Nothobranchius furzeri: one gene and its partner. The protein of the gene in region 1 interacts with the protein of each later gene in a biochemical or structural test. Links are inferred from orthologs where the notes say so. Each region holds a gene or a part of one and is shown in the gene's direction. Other genes may lie near its edges. The genes, in order: lef1 and transducin-like enhancer protein 1.

Region 1 (11,687 bases):
GAATTCTGGAATGGCCACACCCTTGCTTCATACTCAACCGTTTGGTGTTTGCTGATGCTTTTGTCTCCGTAACCTTCATCTCTGGTTGCATTGTCTGTAGAAACAGTAGCTAAACATCATTTATGCATTCAGAGGGTTGGTGTTCTGGTAGGACTCTGATGTAATTATAACATATTTCCTGAAGCAGCAATCATGTCATAATATTGGTGCAAAAATGCAGCAAACTTTTGTTATTAAAATTTCTTGCCTCACGTTTTTTTCCCCTCTGTTATTACTCCATGCCATTTTTTGTGCATCTTTCTCACTTCGGAGTGCAGAAAATCACATGAGTGGGTGAAGATGGGTGCTAGGGTGAGAGGGGCTTCTTGGTGAATAGATTTAGCAGCATGGGAATCCATCACCACTACTCAAGCTGCCATCTCCCCAGCTGTTTGTGAAACACCTCACACGGTTCCTTATACTCTTGATTGTAGCTGCGGGCATGAAAGAGTCCTCATTGCATATAAATTACAGAAGTGGGAAGTGATTATTATGAAATTCCCACTTTTCCCCCCACTCCACTCTGCAGAAGTGGTATAATTGAGCAGAGTACAAAAGCGGTGCTGTGAGGCGGGAGGGAGGGATGGCTGAAGAGGAAATATTGGAGGAATGGTTGCTTCATATAAACACACAACATTATGATGGCGGAATAGGACCAGAAATGAAAAGACCAAACGTCTACATCCCAGTTGTCTTCCCCGCCCCCGGTTTGAGACGACACACCAGCTTCCCTCACTGAAACACACTGGAGCGCCTCGTCTGTCGAGGGCTTCCTGCCAGCTTCAGTTCCGCACAATGAATTTGGTTTAAAACCACATCTGAAGGGCTTTGTTTTTAAAAAAAAGGACCGGCCGAGGCTGGATATGATATTCCAAATGGAACGTTTGCTTTTCAGTTCTCCCTGCCTCGCTTCTGCTGCCCCCCCAAAAAAAGTGAAAAGAAAGATCCTAAGCCTATTATTTCTCATGTACAACAAAGGGCACCTCCAATATGGCTACCCTCTATGAAACAGCGATGCTGCTGTGGGTTTGAGAGCCTGTGTGGGGAGAGAGGTGACACAACCGGTCAATCGGTCTTTTTTTGGAGAAACCCCTCAACTTTCAGCTGATTCATCCTAGGTAGTTGTAGAGCTTTTGGCTTTCACGTTCAACATTTTTTAGTCCAAAAACCAGCAGCGTCTCGAGTTTTCGTCGTCACGTTTGATGTTATCTGGAGTTATTGATGAAGCTTTTAGAATTCTTGTGAAAGGAATTGTTGTTCTGTTCTTCTAAAAGCAAATCAGGATTGGATAAACCAGTGTGGGTAAATGCACCCGTATTGGTCACAGAGACTTCCAGCCTCTTCCGTGGTGGATTCCCTGTTTCCTCCACAATGGAAGAAGGGTTTTATTAAGAAATTAAGAAAAATTGGATTTGACAGCTGTAACCACGAGAGGGAGAGGTTCTCCGCTGTGGTTGGCGCGTCTGGTTAAAGACTCGGTTACCCTTTACACTTCTGTTTTATTAAAACAACGACGGCAGAGTGATTCGTTTCCATTAGCTTGGTCTTTGTCCTGCTCTTTACTCAAAGTCTGAGGAATCATGGCTATAATGGTAATCTCCTAGGCTCTTATCTCATTCCCACAGGATAACAAATGGGAGAGGAGAGGCGTAAAATAATACGGGTGAGAATGGCATCATTTAGCCTCTGGTGAAGGCATGTCCAGTCTCTTCATCCCTGGTTAGTCCCTCTTTTAGGTTTAGCAGCCTTCCCCTCGGTCGGATGGGGTCGAGCACTCTGACTCAAAGATTATCCCATCACCTCTGACTCTCGGTGACTGGGAGGGGGGGTCACAGAGCTCCTTTTCACCTGGGTTGGTGTGGAATTGCTATGAAACTACCATGGTGTTCAATGTTCATCAAGGTGGGAACAGGAAGTCGGTCTGATTTTTGCCCGTTGCTAACTTTGAGCGGAAAAAACTCACATGCCCCGTCTGTCAGGATCCTGGTTAGGACGTTCCCAAAATGGGAAAGGCTTTGAACCGAAGCTGGTGCCAGTCTGCGAGAGGTGTATCCAACATTCCAGACACCCCGTGTTCGAGGGGTTTGATGAATATGTGTGTGTGGTGGGGGGTGTGACCACCAGTCTCCACTTAGGACTGCGAGAATGTCCCTTTGGCTCACAAGTGTTCAGATGGAAAGAAGCTAATAAGAACTTTTCAGTAAATGGTTTCGACCGGGGTCTACAGGTTTAATAAAAGTGGAGCAGAATCGTTCAGGGCGTGTCCAGCCTTTCACAGATTAGCCGTATGTCCTGTAGAGGTGATATTTTGACTCCAGCTCTGCTCTGGGCTCGGATTGTGAATGGCAGATTTAGCACGGCTAAGCATTCCCATGTGTTTGGTGCAGCTGGGGGGGGGGGGTTGAACTGCTAATTGTGAACAGGTATGGTCTGTGTGAGCCAGCCGGGGACTGGGGGTCCATGGACGGGCCACTGTTGACGTGATAACCTCTACGTTGGGTTAAGAACCGCTGCAGACATCTGCCTCGCTCCGGCTTTCTCACCAGTCAAGCCCCTCCCCTCCCCACCCCACCTCCCCCGGCTCTTGCTCTGTAATGAACTCCCCTTATTCACCAGCTAATGACTGCCTTTGATCTCCCGCCTCAGACCTCTGCTCCATACCTTGCAAGTCTCTCATTTCTCTCCCCTCTCTGCTCCGTCGCTCGCCCCGTTCGCTTCTCTTCTGTTTGCGTCCTTCTTTCTGCTTCACCCCCAAACACACACATCTTTGCTTTTATTTATTTTTCTCTCGTTTCTTCAGGGAGTGGCGTCTTTAATCCCGCTGACCTGTGCTGAAAGTGTAGAGCTGCTGGGCTCAACAACAAACGGGAACAATGTGTTTTAGAATGGAATCAGTCTGTATTGCCACTGCTGCAAGAACAGTGGAAGGCGCTTTGGCGTCTCTCCGTGTATATGCGGTACACAGAAGAGATAAAATAACAAGTATGTACTAAAAGGAAGAATTGTGTATTTAAAAAAAAGCTGTGTATGGCATTGAGTTGAGGTTGGGGGGAGGGGTTTTGCTAAAACCGTAATAAATAAGGTTGTAATAAATACCGTTGGAAGATAATAATACTGGTTGCATTGCAGTATACATAGAAACACGATTTGTAAATATGAATAAGGTGCAGTGTCCATGTTGGTGAGTGTCGGTGGAGCAGTTACCTTTTCATCAGGGTGGAGGTAGAGCCTGTGCTGCACTAGCTGAGCCAGCGTCCTGCTTCTGCATGACAGAAACGACATTAGGTCCATAGTGTTCATGTGAAAAATCAAAAATTTTATTGTAATCTGACCAATTTGCTTTTGTTTCCACAGTCCAATAAAGTCCCTGTTGTGCAGCCGTCCCATGCAGTCCACCCTCTCACACCACTGATCACGTACAGCGATGAGCACTTTGCTCCAGGCTCCCATTCAGGCCATCATCCCCAGGATGCCAGCAACAAACAAGGTAAGAGACACGCCGACACAACGTCGTTTTGTGTTGTCTGAGTCGTCTCGAACTGTGAAGGAAAAAGCACCCGAGTCGGTCTCTAATCCAGCATCTGACTGGGATGCAACTGTTTGCAGGAACATCAACAGATTGTTAGTTGGAACTTCAATAAATTTGTACAAATGATCCTCGAGGAAGAAGTTTGAGTACGGCAGTGTTATGTTGGGCGAACAGAAGGGAACTGCCCTGCTAATGTTTCTTGTGGCGGTTTAGTTCTAACGTGTCTCGATTTGCTTACAGTTTACCCCGCATGCCATTTCAAGTTTGTTTACTAACTGCTCCATCGTATTGAGTTCTTTGAACTTTGACTCTCAAAAACTACATTGAGAAGGGTTTGAGACGGGTTCCAGACAGCTGTGATGACTCTAATAGGAGTAGAAACTAGTCGTGGCCCAAAACCAGCGACATTTTTCATCTGTGACTGAAGGAGTACAAAAACACGGAGCAAATGTTTTATTCATGGATGGAAATGGCAGGAAACGTGGGTTTAGAGGTGGCGACCGCATGAAGAGGTGGAGGAGAATGAGAATGTTATAAAGTCTCTAAAATACATGAACACATTCACTATCGTGGGATCGGATACATGGGTGTAATGGTGGCATGATACGCCAGAACAGAGCTACTCCCTCTGCTGTCCTGGCGGGGAACTGCTTTGCAACACTCCCCAGGTGACGGAGAAGTCCGAGAGCAAAACATCTCTGTCAATGAGTGTGTCTCTGCCTAGCGGAGCTGACGGAGATGTATAAATCAGGCTTAAGGGCTGCAAAATGCTTGGTTTTAACAGTGTGTATATACATGTTTATTATGACTGTCTCCTGTAATGTGCGTTGATTTAAAATGTTGTTTGTGCGCATCCCCCGAAATTAACGAGACGCGTTCGAACGCTGCAGTATACGAGTAACCAGTAGGCGGAGTTAACTAAACATGTGAGACACCCACCATGGTTTAGAGGACTTCCATACTATCTATGATACCGCTGCTGTCGTTTTTCCTGCCGGGATCTCCAAATGAAACAGATCTTTTCTATTGACACGATGTTTGTTTCGAACAAACCCTGGACTCTATCGGTCTGAACTGAGCCCCCTAACGAAGTCCTTCAGTACTACGTGCAGCGCAGTGCCGTGCAGCAGCAAGCATGTGAAAAAAGACGCAGCCTGCGCCAAAACACGTAAAAAGCAAGCATAACCCGACCCTAAGACTCTGGCTTTACGTGTCAAATCTGGGTGCCTGTTTTAAGAGAACACCTCCATAATCCCAGATCATGAATCAAGCTTAAACAAATGAAATCTAAAATGTGGTCTCGCTTTTACAGAAGCTCCAATCTACCATTCATGGACACAATTTTCACTTTAGAAGTGGGGGGGACAGTGGGGGGGGGGGGGGGGGGGGGGCTTTACAGTATGCTCTAATGGGAAACCGGCTTCAACACAAACGGTTGTTTTCTGCTTGGTCCTAGAGCTCAACCAGTGTCAATTTAATATAGCGTAATATTGTTTTTGGATGGTAAAAAGTGCAGGGGTCAAAACTTGACTTTGGAAAAAGTGTGTGGGGGGGGCATGTCCCCCCTGTCCCCCCCCCCAAAATTACGTCCATGCTACCATTGATCAAACTCGTACGTTAAAGCCATTATTGGATGATGTGCAGTTTATGCTAAAAATATTGGAAGTCATCTCGGAGGCAGCACAAGTATTCTTTTTTTAAACGACTGTCAACACCGTCAGGAATCCGTTGAGACACACACACAGAAATATGTCGGAGCGAAGTCACCCTGCCACCATCTTTTGCTGTGAAGTCATTTGAAGCAGCCGGTGGGATGTCGCGCTGAGCTCGTTGCCCTCTCCCTCTGCACTCGTTGCCTCTCAGGAATAACATCAAGCTGCAGCTCTGACAGCTGCAGAAGAGCTCCTCTGCCGTTTGGACGAGCTCCTTCAGCCCTGCGCAGCTGGAGGCTTTGGCAGCATCTCACTGATGCTAGCAGAGGAGGAGAAAAATTCAAAAAAAGACGTGGGCCAAGCGTGGTTTTGTCCCGCACCTTTTCACTTTCCTCCGCTTTCTTCTCCTGCAACTGTCACTTGAAAAGGATGAGGAGTACGAGGAGATGTAGGTGATGATGATGAGAAGGATGGGAGGCTCTGAGGGACCGGCTATAAATAATCCTACGGAACGAAGCGTGAATGTATGCGGTGCAGGGAGATGAAGGGAGCGGGACACGTAAAGAGACAACGCTCCACATCTGCAAAGCTTCTGAAACAGATGAGAGCTTTATTGTAATAGATGCATAAAAGGACTAACAGGCAACACAACAACAAATGCACCCGTCTTTTTCTGTGTGAAATTTTGCTTTTCACAAAAAAAGACGCAATAATTCCCCCGTTGGCAACTCCTTGATCTCTGCACTCACAGCCTAACAGAAATCCATGTCCAAGCTATCCAGTTGCAGAATTAGCTACAAATAATTTCCCCAGGCTGTGTGTGTGTGTGTGTGTGTGTGTGTGTGTGTGTGTGTGTGTGTGTGTGTGTGTGTGTGTGTGTGTGTGTGTGTGTGTGTGTGTGTGTGTGTGTGTGTGTGTGTGTGTGTGTGTGTGTGTGTGTGTGTGTGTGTGTGTGTGTGTGTGTGTGTGTGTGTGTGTGTGTGTGTGTGTGTGTGTGTGTGTGTGTGTGTGTGTGTGTGTGTGTGTGTGTGTGTGTCAGCAGAGCTAAGCCGAAGATGCTTAAAATGAAATCTCTCCCGTTCTTTTTTCCCCTTCCACAGTCCCTCTCGCTCTTTCTTCTCTCCTAATATCGACCAATAGCTGCTGTGCTTCCTTTAGTGGGCTCAGACTTTGATCTGCTCGTTAATTATGAAAAACAATCATGGATTTTCTCATTATGAGCTCTAATATGCACAGGGCTGCTGCGTGGGATGGAAGGTCGAGCAGAGGGGGGTGGGGGTGTTTGGAGAAAATAAATAAAATAAAGACGTTTTGTTTGGGACGTGTGAACATGAAGGGGCGAATAATTAGGCGTCATACACGTGTGAGCGACAAGGTTAACGCATCAGGGTGCTCTTTTCCTCCCCCCCACTGCTTCGCCACTCACCTGCCTCCCTTCTGCCCTCCTCAGGAGGGCCCTAAAGGAGTGTTAGGTGGTGGATTAGCAAGCGGGGAGCCGAGCTATCCGTGCTACGAATCCAGCGACGCAACATTGGCTTTGGAGATATAAGCCTCCCACCCGGCCTGCCTCTCGGAGGAGGGAGGCCCCTTCAGACCACGGCTTGGAGAGAGGAGGGGGAGGAAAAGATGGAAGCAAGGAGAAAAGGATGGCTCCAGCAGGGATTAGAAGACGGTGCTAATCTGGAAGCATTTGCCCTCTTTTTTTTTTCTTTTGTACACACAGGCGCGTGAACAGCTACATCACAAATCTGCATGTCCTTTTAAAAGTGGGCAAAACCGGTTGCTTCAAGTCAGAAAAGCAGGAAGTTGAAGCAGATGTTTGTCATCCTGCAGCACTGTCACAAAAATAGACCTCTTGACCTTGAAGCCCAGTAGGAGCTGGAAATGGAGGAGCTTAGTCCTGGCAGAGGAGTGGGTTAATACCAGGCCAACAGGAAGACCGCTGGAAGAGACCATTACACACAGGAAGGAACAGAGTTAGGAAAAATGATCATTTACCGCAGATTATTGAGGTGAGGTCAGGTGAGGTCAGAGGGCATGTTCACGCCCTGATGTACGGGCTGGGATGGAGGAGGTTGTTCAGGAGGCGATCTTGTCAAATTTTACAAACACTTCAAAGATCTCTTTAAAGGCTAAGTTCACTGAGAACTTTTTTTTGTACTTATGTTTGAAATCTGATCAGTCACTCTGAGGCCCTGTCCACACGTAGACGGGATCTGCCAAAACGTAGATATTTTCCTACGTTTCGGCCTGTCATCCACACGAAAACGGATCTTTTTAAAAACTCCGGCCAAAGTGAAGATCTGCGTTTTCTCCGTTTTGGGTGTCTGCGTGTGGACGGACAAAACCGGAGTTTTAAGGTCCGCAACGTCACTTTCCGCGACAGAAAAATGCTGACATCACGAGTGCGACCTGTGTTTACACTAGCCGACAGCACGGATGCCCTCAGAGCTGCGCTCGCTTTATCAATCGTCCAAGCGCTTTCTGCTTGTTTGTTTTTGCAAGAGGAATTACTGCTGCTTGCGGAAGACCACAGACGAAGGACGAGGTTAAGAACGGGGGAAGTACTGCCGCCTACAGGTCTGGCATGTCCTTAACAACGTATTTATCCGGGTACGTGTGGATGCAAGTTTCTGGAGGGGCGGATATTCGTTTTTTTAAAAACCCCGGCTACGTGTGGACTAGGCCTTAGTTTAACATGCAGGCTACATGTGAAAACAGTCTTCTGCCCCATTTCCTTCATCAGCTGATAGAAGCTATTCAGGGAAACGCTCGGATTAGGATAACCCACACAGAATTAGCTTTTCGCTCACCCATCGTGGCTCGAGACGAGGAAGGCTGTTGTTGCTTTAGCTTCCAGGTGAGCACAGAGCACCGCTGGGGTGGTAGAAGCTAACAGTTAGCATTAGTAACTCCACAACATGGCAGAGCTCCTCCAGGCTTGTGTTGTTTGTGGAGATGAAACATCAACATTGCCAAGCGAAGGGAGTTGCTGTCAGCCAATCAGAGGCAAGATGTGACATTATCAGGAAGTAAAGACTCCAAATCCTGCCGTCTGCTGCGCCCCTCTGCCCTGGCTAACACCTACTTCCTGAAACAGGAGCGCCGACGTTTATACCCCACAGAGATCAACCTACGCTTGTGCAAGAGACCACTGCCCATGTGTTGAATCGAGCGAACCTGGTCTTTAAGGAGAAATTAAACTTGTTAACATTTTCACAAATCTTGATGCTTGTGTACGACCTTTGTTTGTAGGAATGCCCAGGCATCATCCCGGACCAGACATGTCCAATTTCTACTCGCTGTCTCCTGGGGGAGTGGGGCAGATCACGCCGCCGCTGGGATGGTGAGTCACTAACTGATGACCGTAAAAAGCTCGATGATTCATGCTGACGGGAGGGTGTGTGTGTGTGTGTGTGTGTGTGTGTGTGTGTGTGTGTGTGTGTGTGTGTGTGTGTGTGTGTGTGTGTGTGTGTGTGTGTGTGTGTGTGTGTGTGTGTGTGTGTGTGTGTGTGTGTGTGTGTGTGTGTGTGTGTGTGTGTGTGTGTGTGTGTGTGTGTGTGTGTGTGTGTGTGTGTGTGTGTGTGTGTGTGTGTGTGTGTGTGTGTGTGTGTGTGTGTGTGTGTGTGTGTGTGTGTGTGTGTGTGTGTGTGTGTGTGTGTGTGTGTGTGTGTGTGTGTGTGTGTGTGTGTGTGTGTGTGTGTGTGTGTGTGTGTGTGTGTGTGTGTGTGTGTGTGTGTGTGTGTGTGTGTGTGTGTGTGTGTGTGTGTGTGTGTGTGTGTGTGCGTGCGTGCGCGTGCGTGCGTGCGTGCGTGCGTGTGTGTTGAACGGAGGGTGGCTGGTCTGCAGCAGCAGCTCCAACAGGGAGGTCTGCCTCTTGGCTGTTTCTGGTGCACTGCTGTGGCTTCGACCACACTGCTCCTCTGTGAGCCCAGCACAAGTCAAACACATCACCGCGTGTGTGATCCTGCACAGCCATGTGGCTTCTTAACCTCCATCAAAGCTTTCTGAGAGCACTCCTGCTTCTTCCAGATTCATGCTTGTCAAAATGATCTAATTCCCTTTCTATCTGCCGTCGTGTCTTTGCTTTACCCGGTGCCTTTTCAGTTCCTGTCATGTTTTCATCTCCATTTTCCTCTTTCTCTGTCAGTGGGATTTTAAATTTAGGTGACAAAGTGGAAGTTTAGTTATGGTTTTAACAAAACAAGTCAGGATTCAATGGTAACTAAAGCGACTCATAAATGATTTTATACATGTTGAAATGAACAGGAAAGGCAAAACGCGTTGAAAACCAGAGATCCAGATGTTTTTGGGCAATTTTATGATCAGATGAGGGTTTGACTCTAGTTTATGTTTGATGAAATCCTAAAACATAGATTGTTTCTGGAAGAAACTTCATATTTAGATGAAACCATGTTTAAAAATGAGTGATCAATTTAGCATTGTGCTGCATTTGCATCATTTTCTAATCTACAAGAATGTGCATGTTCAGCACCAGCTGAGCATTCTGGTTTCAGTAGGTGTGCAGAATAAAACTGGAACGTGTGTGTGTGTGTGTGTGTGTGTGTGTGTGTGTGTGTTTGATTTAAATTCTTCCTGCAGGTTTTCTCACCACATGGTGCCCGGCCCCCCTGGTCCCCACGCCACAGGGATCCCCCATCCGGCCATCGTCAACCCACAGGTCAAACAAGAACCTCCGCATGAAAGTGACATCATGCACATGTGAGTCTTCCTTTTTTTTTTTTTTTTTTGCTTCATCAGCAGGCTTTCTGAGATGATGTACTTCCAGGTTTTTGTGGCCTCCACCACTGCAGGAGTTCATTGCTGACCCCCCCCCCCCCCCCCCCCCCCCCTTCTCTCAGAGCCTTTTGATGTAAACCGATAAGCAGCGAGGGTCGCTGCTCCTCTGATAGCAGGCCCGTGCCTCGTTTGGCCTTGAGGAGCACAACGCTCAGCCGACAGATACGTGAGATTAGAGCTGGGGATGCAGGAGGTGGTTATGGCTGATGCTTTCATTATTCATGGCAATCGCTGCCTCAAGTCTGCGCCAGCATCACTACAAAAGGCCACAAAAGGAATCAGGAGCGGGAGCAAAGTGTTTTTCAGTGTGGAGACGTTTGGTTTTAAGCAACTTCCAATGTCCCTTGGACAAAAGTTTGGTTGCTGTTAATGGTGAAGTAATGTCTCCGCATGAAGGGCTGCAACTGCACATGATTAAAGCGGGAGGGGCCCACGGCGTGGCAGCCCTTCTCACGCTGGGGACACCAGACCCCTGTCATGTTTTCATTTTAAAGGGGGCCACCATCGCGGCGTTCCCTCCTCCTGATGCTCGACTCTCCTTTTATTATCTGATCGTTTTCTGCCTACTTTTGTGTTTTTTTAACAGGAAATCCCAGCACGAACAGAGAAAAGAGCAGGAGCCCAAAAGGCCGCACATCAAGAAGCCGCTAAACGCCTTCATGCTCTACATGAAAGAGATGCGTGCAAACGTGGTCGCCGAGTGCACGCTGAAGGAGAGCGCCGCCATCAATCAGATCCTGGGCCGGAGGGTGGGTCACGTTTAGCGATGGTTCGATCGTTCAGTTGAACTTCCTGCAACTTTTTCCTTTTTTACGTCATAAATCATAGTTTAGATTTTCTCAAGCCTAACTGACTCTATTATATATAAAGAAGAATTTTTAAAGTTTGCACGGATAAAGTCCTGCTTTATAAGTGACATTTAATCAAACTGGTTCCAATAAAATCTGGCTGGATAATGGCACGGTTGGAAATGACAAAATGTGTCCCTTCTGAGGATCGGGGGAAAGGAGTGGAACCACAGAGTCATGTTAAAAGCTTTAACCAGTGCGCCCAGGCAGCCAGCCACAGCAAAGCCTGGACTGTGGCGGCGCGGGGTAATTACTCGCCGACACAGTTAGGGCGAAAAGAAGCTGTGCTGAATTAGATGCAGTGTTTTGATATGAAATCCAAGTATTTCCCCCCTTTTCTCTCTTTGTTCTAATATATTCATCATGTTGCTCCTAAACACTTTTCCCCCCGTTCCTCCACCGAAACACCACTTTTCTACTGACTGTATTCTCTTCCTTTGTACCAAAACAGTGGCATGCTTTATCTCGGGAAGAGCAAGCTAAGTATTACGAGTTAGCCCGCAAAGAACGGCAGCTCCACATGCAGCTCTACCCAGGCTGGTCCGCTCGAGACAATTATGTAAGTACCAACAGAACAGACCGGCAGTGGTGCGCGCGCAAGTGTTTCTGTTGTTTGTGTCTGTGTTGCATCATTTCCTCCATGATTTAAAATGAAGAAAGGGAAAGGCATTAATCCTCACTAGCCTTCTCTATGCTAATGGAGTCCATTTTCAGCGCCTTTTGTCTCACTGTAATGTGTAATTCATAGCACCATCCACGCTAAAATGGATTGTGGTTTCCTGTGGACTATTATTGGCGCTGTGAGTGAAAATTGCCTGG
Region 2 (12,194 bases), on another chromosome or scaffold:
TGCGTTTACACGACCAAACATTCGGGTTAGAAAAGGGTTACCCCCAGGTGTAGTAACCGGGTTTTTAAAAACCCGGTTATGAGCATATCCGGGTTTTTGGCTGTGTTTACATGGCCGTGCGGAACCGGGTTATTGTGAATATTCGGGTTTTAAAAGGGTTACTGGCTGCATGTAAATGCACTCATTCATTGTCCAGTGGAATGCGGAAATCATTTGAAAGACAACGGTAGAACCCGCCCCACAGCCGAGAGCCGTCAATGGAGCGTGGCCAGACTAAATAATACATTTATTTAGTCTGGCTTGCCAGGCTATCCCGCATTAGCTTCTGACAGAAAATCTGGTTCAGTTCGGCTGACCTGTTTACATGCAGAATGCATTTGGATGGCTACCGCGTTATCTGGGTGCTTCAGCTCGATTAGAACCAGTCCGCTATCAGCCACACTAACACGTTTACAAGCAATTAAAAAAACTGATGCAAGTCTTTTTACAGCAGTACTTTTGTTTTCTGATGTGCATGTAAACGCACTGACTATCACTTCACATTCATGGACTCGTCAGTCTTGACTCACAAGGGGCAGGCTGTTGTTTGTTTAGCAAGTCAGTGGTAGAGTCGTGGTGCTGTTATCCAATCCGAAGTGAGATTTCCAGAAATCAGGACATAAGGGATCAAATCCTGCCGTGTTGTGCAGCAGACTTTTCCATTCTGATCCAAGTGCTTCTGGGATCTTTTTGACCTGAGTACAGCTTGCAAATGTATTGACGAAACAAGTTTCCCACACCTTTAAAGTGGCAAAGGTAGTGGTTAAAAATTGTAAAGAATCAAAACGTTTCACGATGAAATAGAAAAAAATAATCTACTCTGATCCCAGTCTAGACTTCAACCCTGTTTTCAGTCACGTGAGGTTTTAAAGGTCACTGATTAGCATCATGACTGAGTGTTTAGGCAGCAGTCTGAAACTGGCAAACCTACAGAAAACCCAAATCTTTCATGTATCTCATTAAAATACTGCGTAAATCCTCCATTTGCTTATCTCCTAATTCTCTGGGGTATGATAATTTGGTGTTACACCGAGTAACATTCTGAGGCAAGGGGCCATATTTGCAAAGCTTTGGTCTGCAGCTAACTAGGGTGCGTGAAAAAACGGGTGATTTCATCAGAGGAGGTTTTGCATTTGTAGGAAGTGATGAGATGATGAAAATAACGTGCATGCAAAATCCAAACTGAATTTGGATGAAGGGGTAAAACAAGTTGTTTGGCACTGTCCTCGTGGCTGCTCTTTTTAGAGCGCTAATAAAGAACTGACCAGAAATGTTTAGTGTTGCCTCTTTTTTTTAGGAATCCATGAGCATTGTCTCAAGTTCTGCTTTTAAACCAACAGCAATCTATGGAGAGAAGTTCCTTTAGGCACATGAATGTAGATTTCACTTTTCTTAACAACAAAAACAATTTGTCTGCGATCGCCTTACATCTTATTATTAATAAAAAGGCAAAATTTGTATTTCTTTTAAAGGTGTGGTCTGGTCACTGAATTTCTCGTGCAGGCTGAACATGAAAATAGTCTCCTACACCTATCTCCTGCATTAGCTTCTGATAGAAAATATGTTTAGTTCGGCTGACCTGTTTTCATGCAATTAAAAAACTGACACAAGTAATTTTAGGGCAATACTTTGGTTTTGTGATGCGTATGCAAATGCATTAACTGTCACTTAACATTCACGGACACATCAATCTTGACTTGCAACGGGGAAGGCTGTTGTTGGTTTAACGTCCAGGAATCAGCAGACAACGTACCGACTAGTATGAGCTAAAAGTAAGCTAGCATTAGCAACACCACTACATGGAAAATCTCCTCCTGGTGGTTGTTTGTGGAGATAAAACATCCACGTTGCAAGTCAGTGGTAGGGTTGCATTGCTGTGTGTTTAATCAATAGATTTGCAGTAGTCTCTAGGAATGAATGCCTTGCAAACCAGAGCGAGAAAAGCCCAAAAGTGCTTGGATCAGCAGGTTTATTTCCAGATATTTGGATATCTCACCTCAGACTGGATAACAGCAACACAGCACTACCACTGACTTGCAACGTGGGTGTTTTATCTCCACAAGTAACACAAGTCACGAGGGGTTTTTCTGTGTGACGGTGTTGCTAATGCTAATGATTAGCTTCTACCAGTCAGGACCTTGTCTGCTGATTCTTGGACGTTAAACCAACAACCGCCTTCCCCGTTGCGAGCCAAAATTGACAGTGTGACCTAGATTTGTCAGGCTTTTCAAATCCTAGTGTTTCACCGTCTATTTTCTATCAGAAGCTAAACTAGCAGATAGATGTAGGAGACCATTTTCATGTTCATCCTGCATGAAAACTCACAGTGAACTATTACAATCAGAACTAGTCATTAAAAATGTTTTTTTCAGAGTTCCACACCTTTAAATAAATTCGGGTTTTCAGAGAAAGGATGAAAAATTCCCTTATTTTCATTAAATAAAAATGCAGAAAACTTACTGATTTAGATTGTGATTGGTTTATTTCAAATAAATTAGAGGTTAAAGAGGAAGAAGATAAAAGAAACGATTGCATGAAGCACAAACAAATGTGTCGAGCTGACATTTTTGTGCTGGAGTTGTGGAAAAATGGCGATGGTAACAGTCTGGAGTCTCTCATTTGGTCTGGATCAGCCGCTGCAGGTGTCAGAGGGTGAGAGGTCAAGGGTTGAGCTCTTTAAGCCAAACGCAGGTCAGCGCGGGGCTCTGGGGCTTTCCATGTGAAGTGAGGGGTGCTTAGATGGAATAGGTGGAGCAGAGAAAACGAGCCTGATCCAGTTCCAGCCAACTCACTGATCAGGATGAGGTTGTTTATCAGTGAAACTTGTAGAGTTAAGGAGCTAGAGGAGATAAATATGAGCAACTCAAGCCTTAACGTTATTCATGATTGTTACATGTGAGGGTTATTGCTGATTCAAAGTGATCAAAGACTTTGCAAACAACACAAGTCACTTTTTAACAATGAAATATTGACATTAGTGAGAAAATAAAGACCAGCACAGGAATTAGTCTAATCATGAGGTCAGACTTTATCCAGTTGAAACATGGCAAAGGTTAGAATTTGTGCCTATAATGGAGGTTTTGTACATTTGTTTACCAAATCTTCTCTTTTTTTCATTTTCTCACTATCATCTTGGCATTTATACAATGCAAGACATCATTAAATGACTACATTTTTACATTTTTCCCTCCTTGTCCTGTGTCTTGTTTGAGCAAAACATTTTAATATTATGTGGGCTGTCTCCTGACATGTTTCCTTTTCTTTTGTATTCACAGTATAGACTAGGATACATTTGTAAAGTCCTCTACAGCACCTTACTGGCTCTAAAACAAAGCACAAATCAAATGAATCTGATGAAAATCGTATTTATTTTCTAGAGAAGTGGGCCATGAAGTGTCAGATAATGAATAGGTGCTTACAAAGAAACGAGGGAAAAGAATAATTCTGTTGATTTGCCATGACACTGGCTGAGAAGGAGCAAGAAAAGCCGTTTTTCTATCTTTTTTATTTTTGTTTGTTTATGCCTGTGTTTACGTTCATGTGCGCGCGCCGCTCCTGCTTAAACCCACGTTACTTTGATTGACAGATGGCCATTACCCACCGCACTGCCCGCCCCGCGCGCTTCCGAAGTGGCAGGCTCGTTCGAGGCGCTGATTGGTCAAAAATCGCAAAGCTCCGCGAGGTCAATGGACTTTAGGAATTTTTCAAATCCGCTATTGGACAATTCCACATGCCGTATTCTCGTCCCCACGTGGAGCGGCTTTTTTGATTGGCCAGCAGGCATTTTGTGGGCTGGTCTTGAGTTTCGGTTAGATGGGAAGCGTGAAACCGCGTGAGAAAGTTGCCATTGAGGTAAAGCAGAGCTAGACGTTAGAGTGCTCGCGCTGGTTTGTAGATTTTTGTTTATAAAATTAACGATATATTTCCTCTTTTTTTCGGTGAAATATGTTTTGGACGTAGCTTCCCACCCGAGGTCACCGTGGAAATTATTAATTCTGCTTTTATTGACTGTTTAACCGCCAACCAACGACCGCGACGAGTCAAGTGGGAACTCTTCACTGCAATTAACTTGTGTGGATATTACGTGTCTGATGCTCCGAGAGCGGACAGTTTGTGGCTGTGTGTGTTCCGACTCGTTGGGTGTTTTTTGAGTGTTTTACTCTGTGTTTGCTTGACTCGGAATACTTTAAACTACACCTGGTTCCGACCCGCCTCCCAGCCTTTGCTGCCTCCAGGTAACGAGCGGTGCTTTTCCGGTTGACTTAACGCTTGCGCTGTCGCTGGAGCACAAGAAGAGACAACGATCCGGAGGGTCGGTGCGAGGAGGAGTCGGGGCATTCCCGTTAAACGCTTGGTGAGCCCGCAAACTGCAAGGCTTGAATTTAACATTCAGTTGGTACTCTAATAAAAGAAAAGGCGGATGGATACGTGTCCGTGAGGAGCTTCACACACCCCAGTGCTTATTCGATCCCTCGTTATCTGGGATTCAGGAAGGACACGCGGCATCCTCGCTGAGATAGGCAACGATGTTCCCCCAGGGGCGACACCCGGTAAGTTTCTTCCTGTTTTAGTTGTTTTTCATCCTCCTCCGCGGTTCCCTTCTGATACCCGAGCTCTACAATCACAGAGTCAAGTTTTTAGACTTGAAGTGAAGCTCTGAACTTTTAAAAACTAATATCAGGCTCCACTTGGCATCGTGGTGTTGATAATCCTGTGTGTTTGTGTTAGACGCCCCATCAGGCTCCGGGCCAGCCCTTCAAGTTCACCATCCCAGAGTCACTGGACCGCATAAAGGAGGAGTTCCAGTTCCTCCAGGCACAGTACCACAGGTGGAACAAACACACACACATACACACACACACACACACGTCTGTCTACCCATCAACATCAAACCTCAGTGTAACCACAGTCGTCACCCTCTCCCACACTAAAAACCCCAGGTCTGAGCTCAGACTAACCCATAAACCTGGATTATGTTCACATAAAAGCATGCAGCAGGCACCATTTTTAACATTTACACTGCGGTAGGTCCAAGTCTTAGTGATGGGTGAGAGCCAAAGCAAAGAGTCATGTGGGCTCAGGGTTTTATGAATTAGTCGCTGTTTTTCCCCTCCACTGTTGGGCTTATTTTGCATACTTATTCTGTTTTGTGGAAGCTCTACCCACTTTTATTTAATTGCGTTTTCAGTGCAAGTTGGCGTAGTTGGCGTAATGATGGGTGAAAGCCACTGGCTCTCAGACTAATAAATCTGCATACTGCATTGAACACACTCATCACGTCACTGCAAGAATTTGTGATTCTAGTTGTGTTTGCAATCATCCATATGGGTGCTCCAAAGAGAATTGGTGTTTTAAGACAAGAGACAGTTGTTATGTGCTTACTTTAAATATAGGGCAAATAAAACCGAACTTGTTAAGCTTTCAAAAAGTTTTATTTTTCCTCTAAACAGTGCACTGCTTTATATTTTGCAGCCTGAAACTGGAGTGTGAGAAGCTGGCCAGTGAAAAGACCGAGATGCAGAGACACTATGTCATGGTAAGATCCTTTCGCTGCGATGCCTCACATGACATGCTGCAGGAAGGCCACTGAGGTGCCCTTGGGGAAGATCATGTTGTTCCATTTCCAGATGTGTAAAAGATTTTCATGGAGTTTACCTGAACAAGGGGAAGTCCTATTTAAGTTAAAATAAAACAATAACTTGAAAGTAACACCTGCTTTTTGTGTAAAAATGATCTTTTCCTTACTCAGACACAACAAAAAGTGAGATTAGACTGCTTCGTTTTTATCAGTTTAATGACGCTAGGGTGAAAAACGGCAATAAAAACTAAATGTAAGAACTACACAACATCCTAAATAAAAGCAAAACTGAGATCTCAAAAGACAACAGCAGCAGATTTGCATCACATAAACTTTCAGTTTTAACCTCAAAGTTTCAATATTTTTACGTAAGCTGAGTTAAAAGGAGGCGTGTTTAAGGCTTTTAATTCACTTTTGAGGCACTCTACCTCTAACGGAAAGTGACTCATTTGAATGGTGGGCTTTCTACAGGAAATGTGATTACTCCTGGGGCCTTTAAAGAGTGTTGCACAGTTTAAAAAAAACTAATTGTTGTGAAAATAAAAGATTTCTCTGACTAAGCTAACTGTGTGACTCTGTCCTCAGTACTACGAGATGTCATACGGGCTCAACATAGAAATGCACAAACAGGTATGGCTGCTTATCTGATCTGTACATCTCCCCTTTTCCACTTCCTCTTGGCAGGATTTTGATGTATTTAGCATGGGTGTGTGTGTACGTGCTCAAAAGTGTTTGTCTGTTAATTTGTTTGTGTGTGTGTGTGTGTGTGTGTGTGTGTGTGTGTGTGTGTGTGTGTGTGTGTGTGTTATTCTGCAGTGGATGTGTGTTTATTTGTGATCGATGGGGCTCTGTCTCCATTTTCCCAGTTAGGGCCGGCCAGCCGAGTCTAGAGGCAGAATGAATGGCTCTGTAGATTGATTGGTGCTGTCTAGGGGAGCGGTCTGCTTTATTACATTAGATGGGCCGGGCTGGGGAGGGCAGAGGAATCGATCAACGTGAGGCCAGCTGAGGAGATACAGTGTCGCTCCCCTTTTGTAGAAGCAGATGCAAACGTATGAGACGATGTAGCAAGGATACTTGTGTTTACAAACCAGACAGGGCATTCGTCCTAAACTCTAAATAATGTGTGCAAATGAGGCCATGGGTAATTTACTGCAGTTCATACAGCGTAATGCATGCACAAATACTGAAGGTTAAGCATGTTTATGCATGAGTGTACACAAATATATTTCTGACTGCAGGAGAAAACACTCACCTTCTTTTATTCACATTTCCCACAGGAGTAGTGCAGGGCTTAGAGCATTTACCAGTAATTACCACTGCTATCGACCAGTCAGACCAGAGGAAATTGGAGGTGGATTGGCTTGGCTACTTCACTGAAAGTAGAGGATGCATTTCTTTTTTTCTTTTTTTTTTAAACTCTTTTCCTTTAGTGTTGCTCTCACATTCTCTACCTCCTTTGCTGTTATTCTCTCTGTTTTACACCCCCAGGTTCTGTTCTTTTCTTTTAGGGCTGCACAATATATCGAAAAATTATCGTCATCGGGATAACAGGACGTGCGATAGGCCCATCGCAAAACACGTCAAAAACGGCGATAAATGTTTGGTTCAAACATTTCCATCCATGTCATACATCAACTTTTTGTAAACCAGCTCTGTTTTTTATGTGGAAGTATTATTTGACCAATCAAATGTAGTCCTTCTGATATGCGGCCAATCAGATGGGTCCGTTCACATAATACGCCCGCCCCTACGTAGACAGGATGGGTGGAACGCAACACCCGAACTGAGTTAGCGGCGCCGTTTCCTTGTTCGTCATGCTGGCTCAGAGCAACGAACACACTTTGTGCTGACGTTTCTGGAATCAGCGCTAGGGATGGGTACCTTTGACATTTGAATCGATCCGGTACTAATTCCCGGTACCTAGGAATCGATACCAGTACTTAACGGTACCAATTTTTGATACTTTTGAGTGTTTATTATTTTAATTCTCTTTTATAATTAAATATATATTTTTCTCAATATATAACCATATTTGATAAATATCACGATAAATAACATACAGCTGTTTGTATTTTAACATCGTCCTTGTAGTTTTATAAGCTGATAATTAAACTGAAGCAAACATCTTTACTGTGAACTAAATTTACTGTATATCTTCATTCCTTTTGCCGTCTTTTTTCATTTGATTTTTCCTACTGGGAAGTTAGAATTTCCGAGGAGAAAGCGAACGCACCATTAGCTGATAACAACGGTGGCAATGGAAGCTAACATATCAAGCTAACATTATCTTTAACAGTTTATTTAGCTGCTGGAGCAGATTAAAACGATGATGTCTCACACTTAGATCATTGTCGCTGGTTTCATCTTCACCCAATCACCTGTCGCATTTAGTAAAGTGAAGCCAAACTTTAGAGCGCGTTCATGTTCTAGTCGGAAATTCGGAGTTTCGAGGAGAAAGCGAACTCGCCATTAGCGAAATGGAAGCTAACATATCAAGCTAACGTTATCTTAAACATTTTATTTACCTACCGGAGCAGATTAAGATGAGGATGTCTCACTTAGATCGTTGTCTGTTGCTGGTTTCATCATCACCCAGTTACCCATCACATTTAGTGAAGTGGACCCAAGCTTTAGCGTGCGTTCTTTCTACCATGCTGCTCTGTTTACAACTCGCTCGCAGCGACCGATGACTTAACGCTCGTGCGCATGAGCAGCTGTCTAGGCAAGTTCTCGTTGTGAAGGACGGGTACCGAAACGAGGCACCGTTTGAAACGACGTGAATCGGTGCTCGGTCGGTACTATTTAATTCGGTCGGTAACTTAAAAAGTACCGAATTCGGTACCCATCCCTAAGCGCTGCTTTCAAACGTGAACGTGAGTCCGCTTGGTGTCGTTAAGCAGCTGATAATAACCGGGCTGACTCCTACACGTGCCGGTGAACCAACCCACCTTCATGTTGCTAGTGTTCCACCGGGTGGTGATGTTAGCCCCAGGCTCCGGTTAGCTTCCAGCTAAAAGGCTACAGCACTCTCCTCCCAGTCCCACCCTGCTAAAGAGGGCCTGGAAAAGTTCCCCCACACATCAATGTGATTTTTCATTTATGAGCTTTTATAACCTTGTTAATCAGGATAGTTGATTTGCTGCTGCACATAAACTGTCAGTCAGAAGCTCTGCTAGCTGGTTATCTTAAGAGGAGCTAGTTCAATTAGTTAGCTTGTTATCAGAATCATAGTTGCAGTTTCATCATCTGAGCTGCTTTTTAAGATCTAGGTAAACTTGTTCAATGTGGGGTTAAAAACAAACGTTTTCACATATTTTCCATGTAGATTTTTGCCAGTTCCTCTTCTGAAAGGTAGACAACTGTTTTTCTCTTTCCCTCAGAAAATCTTAATATTCTCCTAGTTTGGCCCAGCACAGTTCACTTCCCAATTACAGCAACAGCCTTATATCATAACCACATAAGTGGAGAAAATGCTCAGTAGCAATGAGAGAATTTGCTGTTGCATTTAAGTGATGTTAACTATTATTTAACATTTAAAGTAATTTTCTGATTTTTTAATTTATTCAAAAGACCCTGGTGAGGGATGTTTTTCTGTATTTGGAGCATCAGAAAAGTTTTATGGTGGAGGTGATGTTTTAAAGTCACTGAGGAACTGCATGCATGCAGTTTGTTGTTTTGCTGCTAATACAGTAGCAGGTGCAGCTGCATATTTTTGCCATAAAAATGTTATGTTATTCATGCATTAGTTTTTGTTTGCTTTGAACCCAGAGCAGACGTCACACGCCAGATGACATAACACTGCATACTTTAGTATTTGTTCATTTATCGCAAGTAATATCGATATCGCAATATTAAGCACTGTTATCGAATATCGCAGGTTTTCCTAATATCGTGCAGCCCTATTTTCTTTCATCGCTTCCTCTCTCTCCAGTCCTTTTTTATTCTGGTTTTCACCCAGACCCCAAGCTGCCTCCTCCTCTTTCTTTGTTTTTCCTTGACTCCTCTTTCTTTCTACGTCCATGTGAAGCTGCTGTTCTTTCATTGTGAAGGAGATGCAGCTCTTCCTATTGTTCACACACATGTAAACACACACACACACACTAAAGCTTCAGGGGAGGTCATTAGCTTGGGGCTGCAGTTGTCAGAGCAACAAGCTTCTGTGGGCGGGTGGTACGGGCATACAGACTAACAACCCACCTCCTGCTGGGGATGCATGAAAATGTGTGTTGTGCGTTCGTGTGTGTGTGTGTGTGTGTGTGTGTGTGTATGTGTTGTGTTGTGTTGCAATAATGCTCCAATTATATGTGTAATAGGAAGCCTGTTCATCTAATGGACATTTTGTTTGTATGCTTGAAACTTTTTCTATATTCTATATTGGGGCGACGGTGGTTCAGGAGCTAAGTGCTCGCCTCGTAATCGGAAGGTTGCAGGTTCGAGCCCCGCTCAGTCTGTCGCTGTGTCCTTGGGCAAGACACTTAACCCACGTTGCCTGCTGGTGGTTGTCTGAGGGACCGGTGGCGCCAGTGCTCGGCAGCCTCGCCTCTGTCAGTGCGCCCCAGGGCAGCTGTGGCTACATCATAGCTCATCTCCACCTGTGTGTGAATGGGTGAATGACTGATTGTGTTGTAAAGCGCCTTGAGGGGTTCCATGACTCTAGAAGGCGCTATATCAAATACAGGCCATTTTACCATTCTCAACTTAGAAACATGAAAGCTTCTGTGAAAAATTTCCATTGTTGTTTTTCCAGAATTGCAGTAAAATATTTATTTATTTTCCCTTTAAGAATCTCTCAGAAGAGTTTGTGATGAAGCCTCACATGATGTTTGCAACTTTGAGTGTGTTTGGCTTTGTGTAGTAAATTTGATTAGCAAGGATAACCTAATAGTAGCTGGTCAAACTATTCTCTGACAGCATAATCACTTAACCTTTACACAAATCTAATTATTGGCTTACAGCAGGATCCTATAATGGATGAACATGTATGGTCTGCCTGAAATAGAACTTTATTTAAAGATCTCTTTGCATAAGTTGGGTATGCTCACGCTTAGCAGGACGCGCCTACCTCATCGTTTTAATTAAGTCAATGTATCAGTTTATTTTATATGGTACACCTAGACTAGTTAGACAGTTTTCAGCTTCTCTTCCACAGAACATCAATGTCAAAGATGTGTGACCTCACTAAACCAGACCAAACAGTGTCTACCCTCTCATACTCTAGTCTATTATTTGTCCATTTATGCATTAATTACAGTGAATAATTTCTGTTAGGAGTCATTTTGACAATGTTAGTGGATTACATTTATTTAGTGCTTTTTAAGGCACTCAAACCACTTTCCATTATTCATACACTCACACATTCACACAGGGCATTTTCAGCTTGTTCGACCATAAAGTTGGTATTTTCTGACCCATAATGGAGTCCCAACACCAACTTCGAGAACCACATATCTGAATAGCACTGAGAACATTACCAACATAAATACAGCCCCACACAGATCTATTGAATGTTCCAATCCCATTTTTTGAGCCATTTGATTTTCAGTATCTCCTGATACAGAGTCCTAATCTGAAACTTCAGCAATGCATTCAAATAAGAAAAAGAGAACACTTCAAAATTATTTATTTATTATAATTATTTATGTATTTCTTGTTCTCTGTACTCATGTATTTCCCTCAGTTTATCTGCTAAAGAATATCACTCGTTCAGAAAGTACGCAGAGGAGAAACATGATCCTATTACAAATATATTTAAAAGCTGTTTCTTGCTCTTATTTCTAATAGTTAAACAATGTGCGGCTGTACTGAATGATTCATATACCTGCGACAGGGCAGGCACGTCACTGCCAGCAGGCTCGCTCTTTTCTTCTAAACACCTGTAGAGCTCTGTCTGTAAAGGGTGATGACGTGTCCACCTATCCATCTTCTGAACCCGCTTAGTCCACATAGGGTCGCGGGGGGGCTGGTGCCTATCTCCAGCAGTCAACGGGCAAGTAGGCGGGGTACACCCTGGACAGAGAGCCAGTCCATCGCAGGGCAACACAGAGACACACTGGACAAACAACCATGCACACACACACTCACACCTAAGGACAATTTAGACATACCAATCAACCTAACAGTCATGCTTTTGGACTGTGGGAGGAAGCCGGAGTACCCGGAGAGAACCCCGGAGAACATGCAAACTCCATGCAGAAAGATCTCAGGCCGGGAAGCGAACCCAGGACCTTCTTGCTGCAAGGCAACAGCTCTAACCACTATGCCACTGTGCAGCCGTGATGACGTGTCATCAAGTGTAATAAATATACTGCTATCTTGGTTGTGACTTTTTAATTTTTTTAATTTTTTTTTTTCCTGTCGTAGGCAATTATTTTTTGTTTTAATGAATATGATCATTGTTGGCTGGCTGCATGTCTTTCAGTGAGCTGACCAGGGTTTGTTGTAAAGGTGGCGTATCAGATTTGTAGTGTTAAATGCAGCTCTGTGTTTTCCACCACCTTAAAGTCCCAATTTGCACACATTACACATAGCTGTTGTGCTGCCTTCACTGTCCGGTTTAAAACACGTCCAAACTGGA

What was found.
Region 2: the proteins of lef1 (region 1) and transducin-like enhancer protein 1 form a complex in vitro, tested with the Homo sapiens proteins (2 studies listed by BioGRID and IntAct, with this or other methods). The link is inferred for Nothobranchius furzeri from reciprocal best matches to the Homo sapiens genes LEF1 and TLE1.

The regions. Positions count from the first base shown.
Region 1 is NC_091746.1:81,732,832-81,744,518, reverse strand, and holds part of lef1 (lymphoid enhancer-binding factor 1), read left to right. Parts: intron 1-3,393; coding exon 3,394-3,526; intron 3,527-8,475; coding exon 8,476-8,566; intron 8,567-9,822; coding exon 9,823-9,942; intron 9,943-10,606; coding exon 10,607-10,769; intron 10,770-11,319; coding exon 11,320-11,427; intron 11,428-11,687. UniProt on the Homo sapiens protein: Transcription factor that binds DNA in a sequence-specific manner. Participates in the Wnt signaling pathway. Activates transcription of target genes in the presence of CTNNB1 and EP300.
Region 2 is NC_091757.1:48,848,713-48,860,906, reverse strand, and holds the start of transducin-like enhancer protein 1, read left to right. Parts: upstream 1-4,367; 5' UTR 4,368-4,565; coding exon 4,566-4,589; intron 4,590-4,767; coding exon 4,768-4,868; intron 4,869-5,511; coding exon 5,512-5,575; intron 5,576-6,202; coding exon 6,203-6,247; intron 6,248-12,194. UniProt on the Homo sapiens protein: Transcriptional corepressor that binds to a number of transcription factors. Inhibits NF-kappa-B-regulated gene expression. Inhibits the transcriptional activation mediated by FOXA2, and by CTNNB1 and TCF family members in Wnt signaling.